2 linked regions of the Saccharomyces cerevisiae S288C genome follow. The protein of the gene in region 2 purifies or fractionates together with the protein of the main gene of each other region. This does not show direct contact. Each region holds a gene or a part of one and is shown on either strand. Other genes may lie near its edges.

Region 1 (2,707 bases), on a different chromosome or scaffold from region 2:
ATCTTTGAAGAAACCAGCGCTGATGGCGGCTTTCTCGCCCGTATTTTACGAAACGTGCCAGAAGAGTGTGCTTAAGCTGCCCTATAAGCTAGTATTTGCCATAGCAACGACTAACGAAGTACTCGTGTACGACACGGATGTATTGGAGCCGTTATGCGTTGTGGGAAATATACATTACTCACCCATAACTGATTTAGCATGGTCTGAGGATGGCTCGACCCTACTAATCTCATCAACAGACGGATTCTGTTCGTATGTATCGATCGACACAGAAACGCAATTCGGTTCAAGGATAGAGCCGCCAGCGATGCATGCAGAGCCACTAGACACTGACGAGAGCGCGGTAGCGGCTAAGAACCAGCGCGAGGCAGGTGGGATCGTGAACATGCTGCCGGTGAAGAAGATCCCCTGCAATAGTAGCGATAGTAAAAAGAGGCGCATACATCCTACGCCAGTCGATTTGTGATTTTTAATATATTTAATGCGGTACATAAGAATGCCTAATCTAGTTTGCCAGCGAAGATATTTTCCATTGTGTGCTCAATGGACCCTGTGTTCCTGAGATCTTGCACGACTTTTTCCTGAGGCACATGTGGCGCCATCGTCATCACGATTTCAACCATGTCACTATTAACGGCTCTCTTTCGATCACTACCATGTCTGTTTAACCGAGCAACGCGTTCCTCCGGAGCCGATGGTACTGGCTCCGGAGAAGGGTCGTTGGTGGCGACCGAGGGCGCCGGTTTGGCATCCTGTACGGTTCGCGAGGGTACTTGCTTGGCGCCCCTGTGTTTCACGGTGTAAACAAACAAGCACACCATCGTCAGTATAAACACTATAGTCGATCCATCCATTTTTACTTTTGTGCGCGTGGGTAGCCGTGCCTCGTCTGTGTGTGTGGGAATGTATAAATGTGTCCCGAGTTATTATTCTAAAGCGGGCACCATTGTAGTAACTTATTGCGAAATTTCTGCTCTTCTCGTCTCGCTCAAAAATCGCGTTCAGGGTAAAAGGGGCGAAACAGAGGGCCAGATAGAAATTTCGAGAAAAGCGGGTCACCCCGCCCCTGCATTTTGATATGGCGTATTTGGGATTGCTTGCTCGAAAGTGTCTAAGTCCGGCTGGCGGGCCTGGCGCCCTCGCCGAAGGGAGATAGGAAGGGGCGGGGGTCCGGGCAGCGGCTATGGTGTCAGTTACCTAGGGAAGGAGAAGGGGGTAGAACCAAGGGGCTAGCACACTCACCCTGGGGCCCCCGTCTAGCCAAGCTTAAATATAAATACTAATGTAACTATAAATATAAGGATCTACCGTGTCATTGCACATCCACCCACCCGTCGATTAAAAAACCAAACAAAGCAAAGAATACAATAGCAACGCAAGATCAACACAATGGCTCTCATCGTGGCATCTTTGTTTTTGCCCTACCAACCACAATTCGAGCTTGACACCTCTCTCCCTGAGAACTCGCAGGTGGACTCATCTCTCGTGAACATCCAGGCTATGGCCAATGACCAACAGCAACAACGTGCGCTTTCTAACAACATCTCACAGGAATCATTGGTCGCGCCAGCACCAGAACAAGGTGTCCCCCCAGCAATCTCAAGGAGTGCCACCAGGTCACCCAGTGCTTTCAACCGCGCCTCGTCTACGACAAATACTGCCACTTTAGATGATCTTGTCTCTTCGGACATATTCATGGAAAACTTGACTGCGAATGCAACTACCTCACATACGCCAACAAGCAAGACTATGCTTAAACCCCGGAAAAATGGTTCCGTGGAACGATTCTTCTCCCCTTCTTCCAATATTCCCACGGATCGCATCGCATCGCCAATCCAGCATGAGCATGACTCCGGTTCGAGAATTGCTTCGCCAATCCAACAGCAACAGCAGGACCCCACGACCAACTTATTAAAGAACGTCAACAAGTCATTGTTAGTGCACTCACTGTTGAACAACACCTCACAAACTAGCCTAGAAGGACCCAACAACCACATTGTTACCCCGAAATCGAGGGCGGGCAACAGGCCTACTTCGGCGGCTACTTCTTTAGTTAATAGGACCAAACAAGGTTCGGCCTCCTCTGGATCTTCTGGGTCTTCTGCGCCACCTTCCATTAAAAGGATTACGCCCCACTTGACTGCGTCTGCTGCAAAACAGCGTCCCTTATTGGCTAAACAGCCTTCTAATCTGAAATATTCGGAGTTAGCAGATATTTCGTCGAGTGAGACGTCTTCGCAGCATAATGAGTCGGACCCGGATGATCTAACTACTGCCCCTGACGAGGAATATGTTTCTGATTTGGAAATGGATGACGCGAAGCAGGACTACAAGGTTCCAAAGTTCGGCGGCTATTCCAATAAATCTAAACTTAAGAAATATGCGCTGTTAAGGTCATCTCAGGAGCTGTTTAGCCGTCTTCCATGGTCGATCGTTCCCTCTATCAAAGGTAATGGCGCCATGAAGAACGCCATAAACACTGCAGTCTTGGAGAATATCATTCCGCACCGTCATGTTAAGTGGGTCGGTACCGTCGGAATCCCAACGGATGAGATTCCGGAAAATATCCTTGCGAACATCTCTGACTCTTTAAAAGACAAGTACGACTCCTATCCTGTCCTTACGGACGACGACACCTTCAAAGCCGCATACAAAAACTACTGTAAACAAATCTTGTGGCCTACGCTGCATTACCAGATTCCAGACA
Region 2 (8,308 bases):
ATCTGGAGTTGTTTCTGTCTTGGCAGTAATGCTTAATTTCCTGATTTCATTGTTGTTCATCGGATCAACATACATTTTGTGCAGGCTCGCTCTTTCCTTGTACAACCACCGATATACAATATGATTAATGTATTATTCAATAATATACGTGAAACTTTCTTATTGCTTAAAGAGTGATCGCCTATAAATTTTCTCCGACGACTGCACAAAGTGTCTCGTATGTCCACTCGAGTTTCTTACCGATAGAAGTAATAAAGCAGACAAAACTTTTAAGATCAGCTGGTAAAAAGTGTCTTTTCTTTCCATATTCTCATTGAACACAACTTTATTTTTCAATGGCATCGAAGAAATCCCGTAGCTGAAGCAACGGAAAAAAAATACCGGAAACTGCATAATGAGGCTATTCACTAAAAAGAAAGTGGTTCACCAGTATGCGTCGGAAACGTCATATAAATCTATATATGTATATGTACATATATATATATATATATATATATTAGTGAGTATTTTAATGTATATCAAGTTTTGATAAAGATTGCAACTTGGCTTGAAATAAACGCATTTTTGCGCACCAGAGAGTATCTGAAACGTTGACGCAATTTTGCAAAAATGCATAGTCGCTTTTCTTCAGACCTTCCTAAATCACTCGTACCTGGAACGACTTTTTGAAGAATGAAGTCGTTGTCCTCTTGAAAAAAATAGTAAATGATACGGTTGATCGGCCGGTGGCCACCGTCGTGACAAACCTAGGAACTCAATTAGGACCATGGCATATAAGTATATGTGGTCCAAGCTTCGCTGTGTAGGCCGTAATTTTGCCGGCATTTACTATATTGTTGACGAATAAGTGATAGATTTGCCATATTTATCCCTCCTAAAGCTCGGTAAAGGGAACTATCTGAGATGGATAGCTTGAAGAAAAAAAAATACTTGCTGATGGACCTCCATGTACAACTTTTGAAATAGTTGGGACATTAAATGGAGTATGGTATGCGGTTATAAAAGTAACTCCCCGAAGCTCACTTAGAGAAGAAATTGTCTTGCTAAGGTAATAGATCTTGGAAAGTTTAAACAATCGTCAATTTTTTCGCTCCTTAAGCAATTGATGTTGTTGCGTTATTTTCTGGCAACGACGACTGGCAGGTCATAGAGACCTACCCAAACCAATAAAGTCTCAAAAATTCCACTTTTCATCAAAAACTAAGGAATTAGTCTTCCTGCGGGCAGTGAATGCTTTTATCGTTATGACTTTAGTGCAAATTGTAGATATTTCGAATGCTTTTTGCATTTAAAAATGAAAATCTATGGCCATTTCTTGTTTTAAACTCATTGAACTTTCAAGGTAAATTCACGAGCAATATATTGGCATTGTCACCACGCTACAATTCGGTAAGTTTCTCGATTCAAACTAGTAAATACAACTATTGGAAGGGCACCCGGTGCTAAGGCGAGAAAACTGCTGATTGTGTACATTATTAGGTGTGATTAGGAAAAATGAACGCGAATAGTAATTTATTTCAAAGATGTGCTTTTTTTTTTCGCTGTATAGCTGTTACAAGACCTGCTATTAAAAAATTCACTAGCAAAAATTGCTAGTATAAAGCTATTGAAGTACTTGATGAGTTTAAATTTTTCCTTGCCGCCATTTCTTTCGACAGGAGTACTTTATCGAAAAGATAAAGGCAAAAGTTATATATTTTTAAAAACGCTCCAAATGGATAGTACTTAGACAAAGCTCAAGTAATGTATTCCTTAATGTGTCAAAATTGGCCACTATGGTTGTGATTATATTTGAATTAAACTCGTGAGAGTGTTGAAGTATTCAATTCAGTATCATTAAATGCCTCTTTTGTTTGTTAGTTCGAAAATGAGAAATTGAGACATAAAATACTGTCTTCAAACAATCGGAAAATAACACATTGATTTACCATCACAGAAGATTTTTACCTCAGTACAGTGTCGGTGGCCAACGTGTAAAGACTTCTTATATATCCGAATTTTTTTCTTTTCAGATTTATTTTTTAGAATGAATTCCAAGACCTTGATTCCCTTATTCTTTTCTCCGCAATAGTTGCCTACTAACTGGGCATAACTTAAAAGAAGCAGATAATAAGATAACCGGAAAAAACAGGAACATTTTCTTTGATACATTTCTACTAACTTGAATAAGGTTATAGGTTAGTATTTCCCCTTGATTTTGCCTCCTTTGAGGCATTTATAGAATTATTCAACAGGTAGATTGCCCCTGTCTTTCTTAATATACATATAGGAAAATATATACATAGCGGTGGGTATGTGAATCTATTGTGTTTTTTTGGTTTTATCCTGTATGATGACATTTTTTAGCAACACATGACCGAGTACTTCCAAAATAAGCATGAACAAAGATGATAGGATCGCCAAACAATAGTTGGAAATGGTTATGCCAATATCCAACCACGACCCCTCCGTTCTTAAAAGGTAGAAAAAATTCAACGACAGAATATCACTCATGGAAATAATTAATGATGAGATTGTGTAGTCCTTGAAGTTAAGTTTTAAATTCAGTATACCTAGGCATGTGGACAATAGCCCGTAGGGAATTATCAATTTCAACATCAATAATGCGCCCATCAGGAAAGGATCAAAAATTGGCAACAATCTACAAACAGACTCCAATGAAAATGAAGAGATTGAAGCGACGTTACCAGTTCCAAAGAATGCGACTTGAAGTAAAAAGAACCCGATTACTGAAACTCTTAGCACTTGTAACCAATTTTCATCTTTTTGGGTCTTCATTTCTTTGATTTTGTTCTCAATTTCAATCCATTGTACCATGTAACTAGTGAACAAGAAGTAGAAAAGGGATTCGAATGATATAGTCAAAATGATAAAGGATGGTGCGAAGGTTAAATAAATGATCAATAATCTCACTTTGTAATCATTGTTGGGCTTCCTATAATGTAAAATTGGCATTACAAAAAGAGATACAAAAAAAATTATCCATCCAGCGACCTGTGACTCTCTTGGTAACCCTTGTCTTAGCTGTAAAGAGATAACTGAACGATGAGTAACCGCCAACATGGCAGCCACCAAGGAAATTTGAATGGCAAATATAGCACGCGTGTAGGAATTTATCCTGGAATGTATTTTGTAAAGAGCATAAAAGGCACTGAGAATGATTAATAACCCTGCTAGATGTATCTGGTTCAAGTCCTCAATTTTAACAGCGTCAAATAAGGTAAATGTAGATAAAAGAACACTAGTTATGATCCACAATATATTCACGGATAGCTCTCTCACCCCACAAATAAACGGGTAAAACGCCAATATATTTGTAATTAGCGTAAACGTCCATCTATGGAAAAATCCATATACAATTCCCTCATAAACTGATATAATAGAGATTGTTATTAAAACTCTTTTCCAAGGAGAGGTACCTTTGAAGAATTCCTTGATACCTGAACGTAGTACGGATCTATTTGTAAAAATATAGCTCCAAAAGTATAATGGGAAAAGAAGGTACATGTAAAAATTGAACGGAGAATGTTGGTAGAACAAAATCCAATTTAGTAAAATTCCTATGGAACCAAATACTGCATGGCTTAATGGTGACGCTTTTTGGTCATCAATTACATTCTCTAATATGAATGATTTCAAAAATATTATAAAAGAAAAAAAGATCCACCCAACAAACCCAAATGTAACAATAGTTCTAATGAATCTCCAATTATAGGTTGTCAAATAATGTAAACCTTCCAATGTTATCTGCATTAATTCCTCTGTAAGGGTGATTGCTTCTTGTTCCAAATAGTTTTCTCCTTCAGATATACGCTGAATTAAGGTTTCTATCTCTTCTAAGTAATGTGAATGAGACTTTTCAACAAACTTGAAGTATTCCTTATAAAAAAATTGAGAGTCTATTACCTCATCTTGCTTGACTAAGTACTGCTCTAAAATGCTTCTTGCGTTGTTGTACAATGCGGCAAGCTTGTCACTTTCTTTTCCATCGATATATGCTATTGGTAACTCACCAACTGAATTTTTAGGATAGTTCACACCAATCAAGTATGACATTAAAGAAGCAATATCTGCTTGCTTGACATCATTTCTTTTAATGCTCGAAAGCTCCCAATTTTCAGTATAGTTGTCGGATACCGGAAAAGGATTATGTACTGGTTTATTCAAACCCGCACCCCAAGCAACAAGAGGGGTCCTTGTGTTGTTAGGATGACCGTCACCATGTGATCCAAATGCACTCATACCATGATCTGCTGTAAAAATAAATGCGGTTTTGTCGTCCGCAAAAAACTTGTTGACTTTGTCTATAAGGATAGGGATTTGATCATCAATATATTTGACATTGTCATAATACTCGGCAGAATATGGTCTATAAGAATGTCCGGCAGTATCGCAACCTAGTAGATGTAGAAAGAATACATTACCGTCTTGCCTAATTTCATAATCCAATGTTGAGTTCAGTGTGGAATTGTGGAATAATTGATCCAAGTGTCTAAAGACAAAAGCATCCAGCTCGATGGAAGATTGCGTAAAATCCTCGAAAGTATGATCATACATCCAAGTGTCAACTTTATTTGGGTCAGAAGCGCCATCTTTGAACATAGGTAAAATGTCAGGTGAACCGAATGAATAAGTATGAGTAGATTGGTTGAAAAAACTATCGAAATTGACAGGGTTTGACTTCCAACCTTTTGTGACGGCACTAACATCTTCGTAAAACCCAGCAATCATAGCAACATGACCAGGACGGGATTCAGTTGGCATTCTGGTATGTGATATACCGTAGGTGGCATTATTCATTACCAAAGATCTAATAAAAGGTGCCAGAAATTCTGTTTTTCCGGATACTGGATGAGTGACTTTATCAAAAGTGGTATCTGCACGTAAACCATCACCGACAATCAAAAACAATCTCTTTGCAGGAGGGGTTGGAGTACTTTGATATGGGCTCATACCATGAACGAGCGGTGAAATGAAATAGATATCAAAAATAGACCATAGGTAAAATAAATGAAATAAGACACCAACAGCCAGAAGCGTCGTTCTGGTTTTGTTCCACATTTTTTACAGATTTCAGTTGTATGAGTCCTAAGGCTCTTCAATGCTTTGGTCGAAGATGGGTTGTTGAATATATAGTAAAGAACGGTTCTTTTTACCTTTAAGGTTTTTTTTTCGCGTTTAATGACAGCGATGCAAAAAGAATACACATATTATTTACGTGGCATCAACATATACATATTCAACGATTAACATCCTGTAGTTTAGGACGAAAAGACACATATGAAATACATATCTATGAAAAGTACTGCACCATAATGATTCAACAAAATAAAATGAGTAACATTAACATCACGCTAGTACTGCTAGATTAAAAATAATAATGAAAACTCCGATACGGGGAGTCGAACCCCGGTCTCCACGGTGAAAGCGTGATGTGATAGCCGTTACACTATATCGGATTACAAAGGATAGAAAATTGAAACGTAATGGAATTACTCATGTAAATATTAAAGAACTCTTTTCATTTACATGGATAATTGGTGAATGTTGTGGGGAATGTTGGATTTCATTGCTGTTAAAGGCTATAATATTATGTGTACAGAATACACCGTGTGTGATAATATACTAGTAACACGTATACTACTAAATGGATGATAATATGCATGTCAATTTTCTTAAATTTTGACTGAGATAGTGACGAATATATGGCATTATAAGATGACAACAATTTGTTTCCTTCTCAAATGAGAAAGGGCTCCACGGTACACAAAGTAATGTCTGAGAAATATTCTGTCCCAGGAATAGTTGAAGTTGCATCCGATTTCAATCCCGTGAAGTCTTGGTACTATCAAATTCGTTGGTTTTTTTTCTGGGAAAACTCTATCAAAGTATAAGGTGCGCTTTTAACGTAATTTATAATGATTTTTTAGAAATAATAATGTATATAGTATAAAAAAATAAACAAACTTTAAAAAAAAGAGTGAAGAACTGTAAAGCTCATTTCATAGGTTTCAAAAGAAAGCTTTATGAAATGAAGAGACGAATTAAGAAGAAAAAAATGAACCGACCCAAATTATGCCCTTTGGAGACAGAAATGACTAATGTACAGAATATGCTACGATGACTTTATGTTTTCATGCGACTATGAGAGGTAAACTTATGATTAACAGTTGAGCAAATCGATAGCTTGTAGGTGGACTGCATTACATTGAGTTCCAATGTGCTCATCGTATAAGTTGTAGAAGTTTCCTGACAAACATTGGTAAAAAGTATCCTGGTCACCGATGGCCAAGTTACCTTCTGGGGTGATGGACCAACCAGCAGCATAGATAGCACCAGCTTGTGGTGGAGGACCATCGAATTGGAATTGTCTGTTGGCAACGATAGAACCAATTCTACCTTTACCGTCAGTCAGGATACCACCCTTTAAGTTCATTTCTAAAGTGCCACTGCTTTTACATGTTTCAGCAGTTACTGGGTCAGTGCCATTAGTAATTGGAGCTGGAGCTGGAGATGGTATAATGGTTGCAGAAGTTAAAGTTGTGGCTTGGATTTGGCCATCAGTGATTTGGGAGACTGGAGCAACAGTAGTATTGGTGGTGGCTTGGATTTGACCGTCACCAATTTGAGAAACAGCAGCAGCAGTGGTTTTAGTAGTGGCTTGGATTTGACCGTCACCAATTTGAGAGACAGCTGCAGCAGTTGTTTTGGTAGTGGCTTGGATTTGACCGTCACCAATTTGAGAGACAGCAGCAGCTTTGGTTTTAGTAGTGGCTTGAATTTGACCGTCACCAATTTGGGAGACGGCTGCAGCGGTAGTCTTAGCTGAGGTAGTCTTGGTGGTGGCTTGGATTTGGCCGTCACCAATTTGAGAGACAGCAGCAGCTTTGGTTTTAGTAGTGGCTTGGATTTGACCGTCACCAATTTGAGAAACAGCAGCAGCAGTGGTTTTGGTAGTGGCTTGGATTTGACCGTCACCAATTTGAGAGATAGCAGCGGCTCTCTTAGCCTTGGAGGAAGCAGTAGTGGCAATTGGTTCAACAGCAATACCGAAAGTAGAAGAGTAATCAGTTATACCACCCTTGTAAGTAGCTGATGGAGTTAAAGTGGACCACGGGTCCTTTGGAGCATAGGCAGCTAAAGATGTAGCAACTAAGGCGGAGGCAACTAATGATTTTTTGTATTGCATTTTCTAGAATATACTATTAGGGGAGTTTTGTAGTTTGTTTTTTTTTAATACCAGTGTATTAACTTTTGTTTTCTTGATGATATTATTCTTATACAGTAATAGAGAAGATAGGACAACTATGCATAAAGTAGTAAAGATCTTGCTCCTTTTTATATGTGAGAATTGTAGCATTACGATCTTCTTATTGAAAGAATAATTAGTATACCAGCGTTCTAATATTTGGGCAGGAGAGATTGACTGGACACAGTCTAAACCCTTTCAGATACATGGGCTAAATGATGGTCCATCGTATTATTAAAGCAAGTAATCGAGCTCCAAGAAGGATTTACGTCCGCCATCTCAATTTCTTTTATTAGCGTTGCTTCTATAATTGGCAGGACATAAAAAGGCTGCTAATAATAAATGATGATATAATTAAGAGCAAGCTGGCCGATCTCTCCATTTTTATGCGCTCCAAGCCACGTCATTTTCCGATGACAGGAATGCTTTGCATATTTCATATGAGATATACATTGACTCCTTTTCGACCAACCGTTTCATTAAAGGGGCAGCAGCTGTCAAAAAAGTAGCCGAAAAAGGCGTCTGGCTTCGAGGAATTATTACCTAAATAGGAAAGGCAGAATATATTAGAAAAAAAAGAAAAACCAAATGAGAAAAGTGCTGGTGCTAAATAAAACATTATTGAGGGGCCAAGAGGGGACAAAAGAAGATATAACTAGATCATTAAGTTTTCGCTCTAGTAACAGGAACAAAGATTGTGAGATACACTGTTATGCTAAGAGACGGTGCGATATTCTGTACGAAAATTATTTAACTATTAACTAAATGTATACCACTTCACGTGCCACCGAGTAGGTTTCTAAAATGTGCAACCATTTTAGGTATGTGCGCAGCTCTTTATTCTAAACGGGAGTCACTACATTACTATTATCGTGTTTTTGCCCATGTACTTTCTTATAATCTTAAGACAACAACGGGATGATAGGCGCATTCGGACTTTCATTGATGCAAATGTGTGAAAAATGCATCCAAAAGACAACTTTTGTACAGAATACAATTGCAAAAATACTTTACGGGCATAGATCGGTAAGGTCACCGGGAAGCTAGCGTAAGAGACCT

What was found. The genes of interacting proteins can lie anywhere in the genome.
Region 1: the proteins of MCD4 (region 2) and CUE4 purify together in Saccharomyces cerevisiae (affinity purification with mass spectrometry, with the first as the bait; one large-scale study listed by BioGRID). This does not show direct contact.

The regions. Positions count from the first base shown.
Region 1 is NC_001145.3:69,235-71,941, forward strand, and holds CUE4 (Cue4p), read right to left. Parts: upstream 855-2,707; coding exon 501-854; downstream 1-500. Other genes in the region: CAC2 (Cac2p), read left to right, coding at 1-466; YML100W-A (uncharacterized protein), read left to right, coding at 904-1,077; TSL1 (trehalose 6-phosphate synthase/phosphatase complex subunit), read left to right, coding at 1,390-2,707.
Region 2 is NC_001143.9:135,631-143,938, forward strand, and holds MCD4 (mannose-ethanolamine phosphotransferase MCD4), read right to left. Parts: upstream 5,062-8,308; coding exon 2,302-5,061; downstream 1-2,301. Other genes in the region: cAMP-dependent protein kinase catalytic subunit TPK3, read right to left, coding at 1-75; PIR1 (beta-1,3-glucan linked protein), read right to left, coding at 6,164-7,189. UniProt on the Saccharomyces cerevisiae protein: Ethanolamine phosphate transferase involved in glycosylphosphatidylinositol-anchor biosynthesis. Transfers ethanolamine phosphate to the first alpha-1,4-linked mannose of the glycosylphosphatidylinositol precursor of GPI-anchor.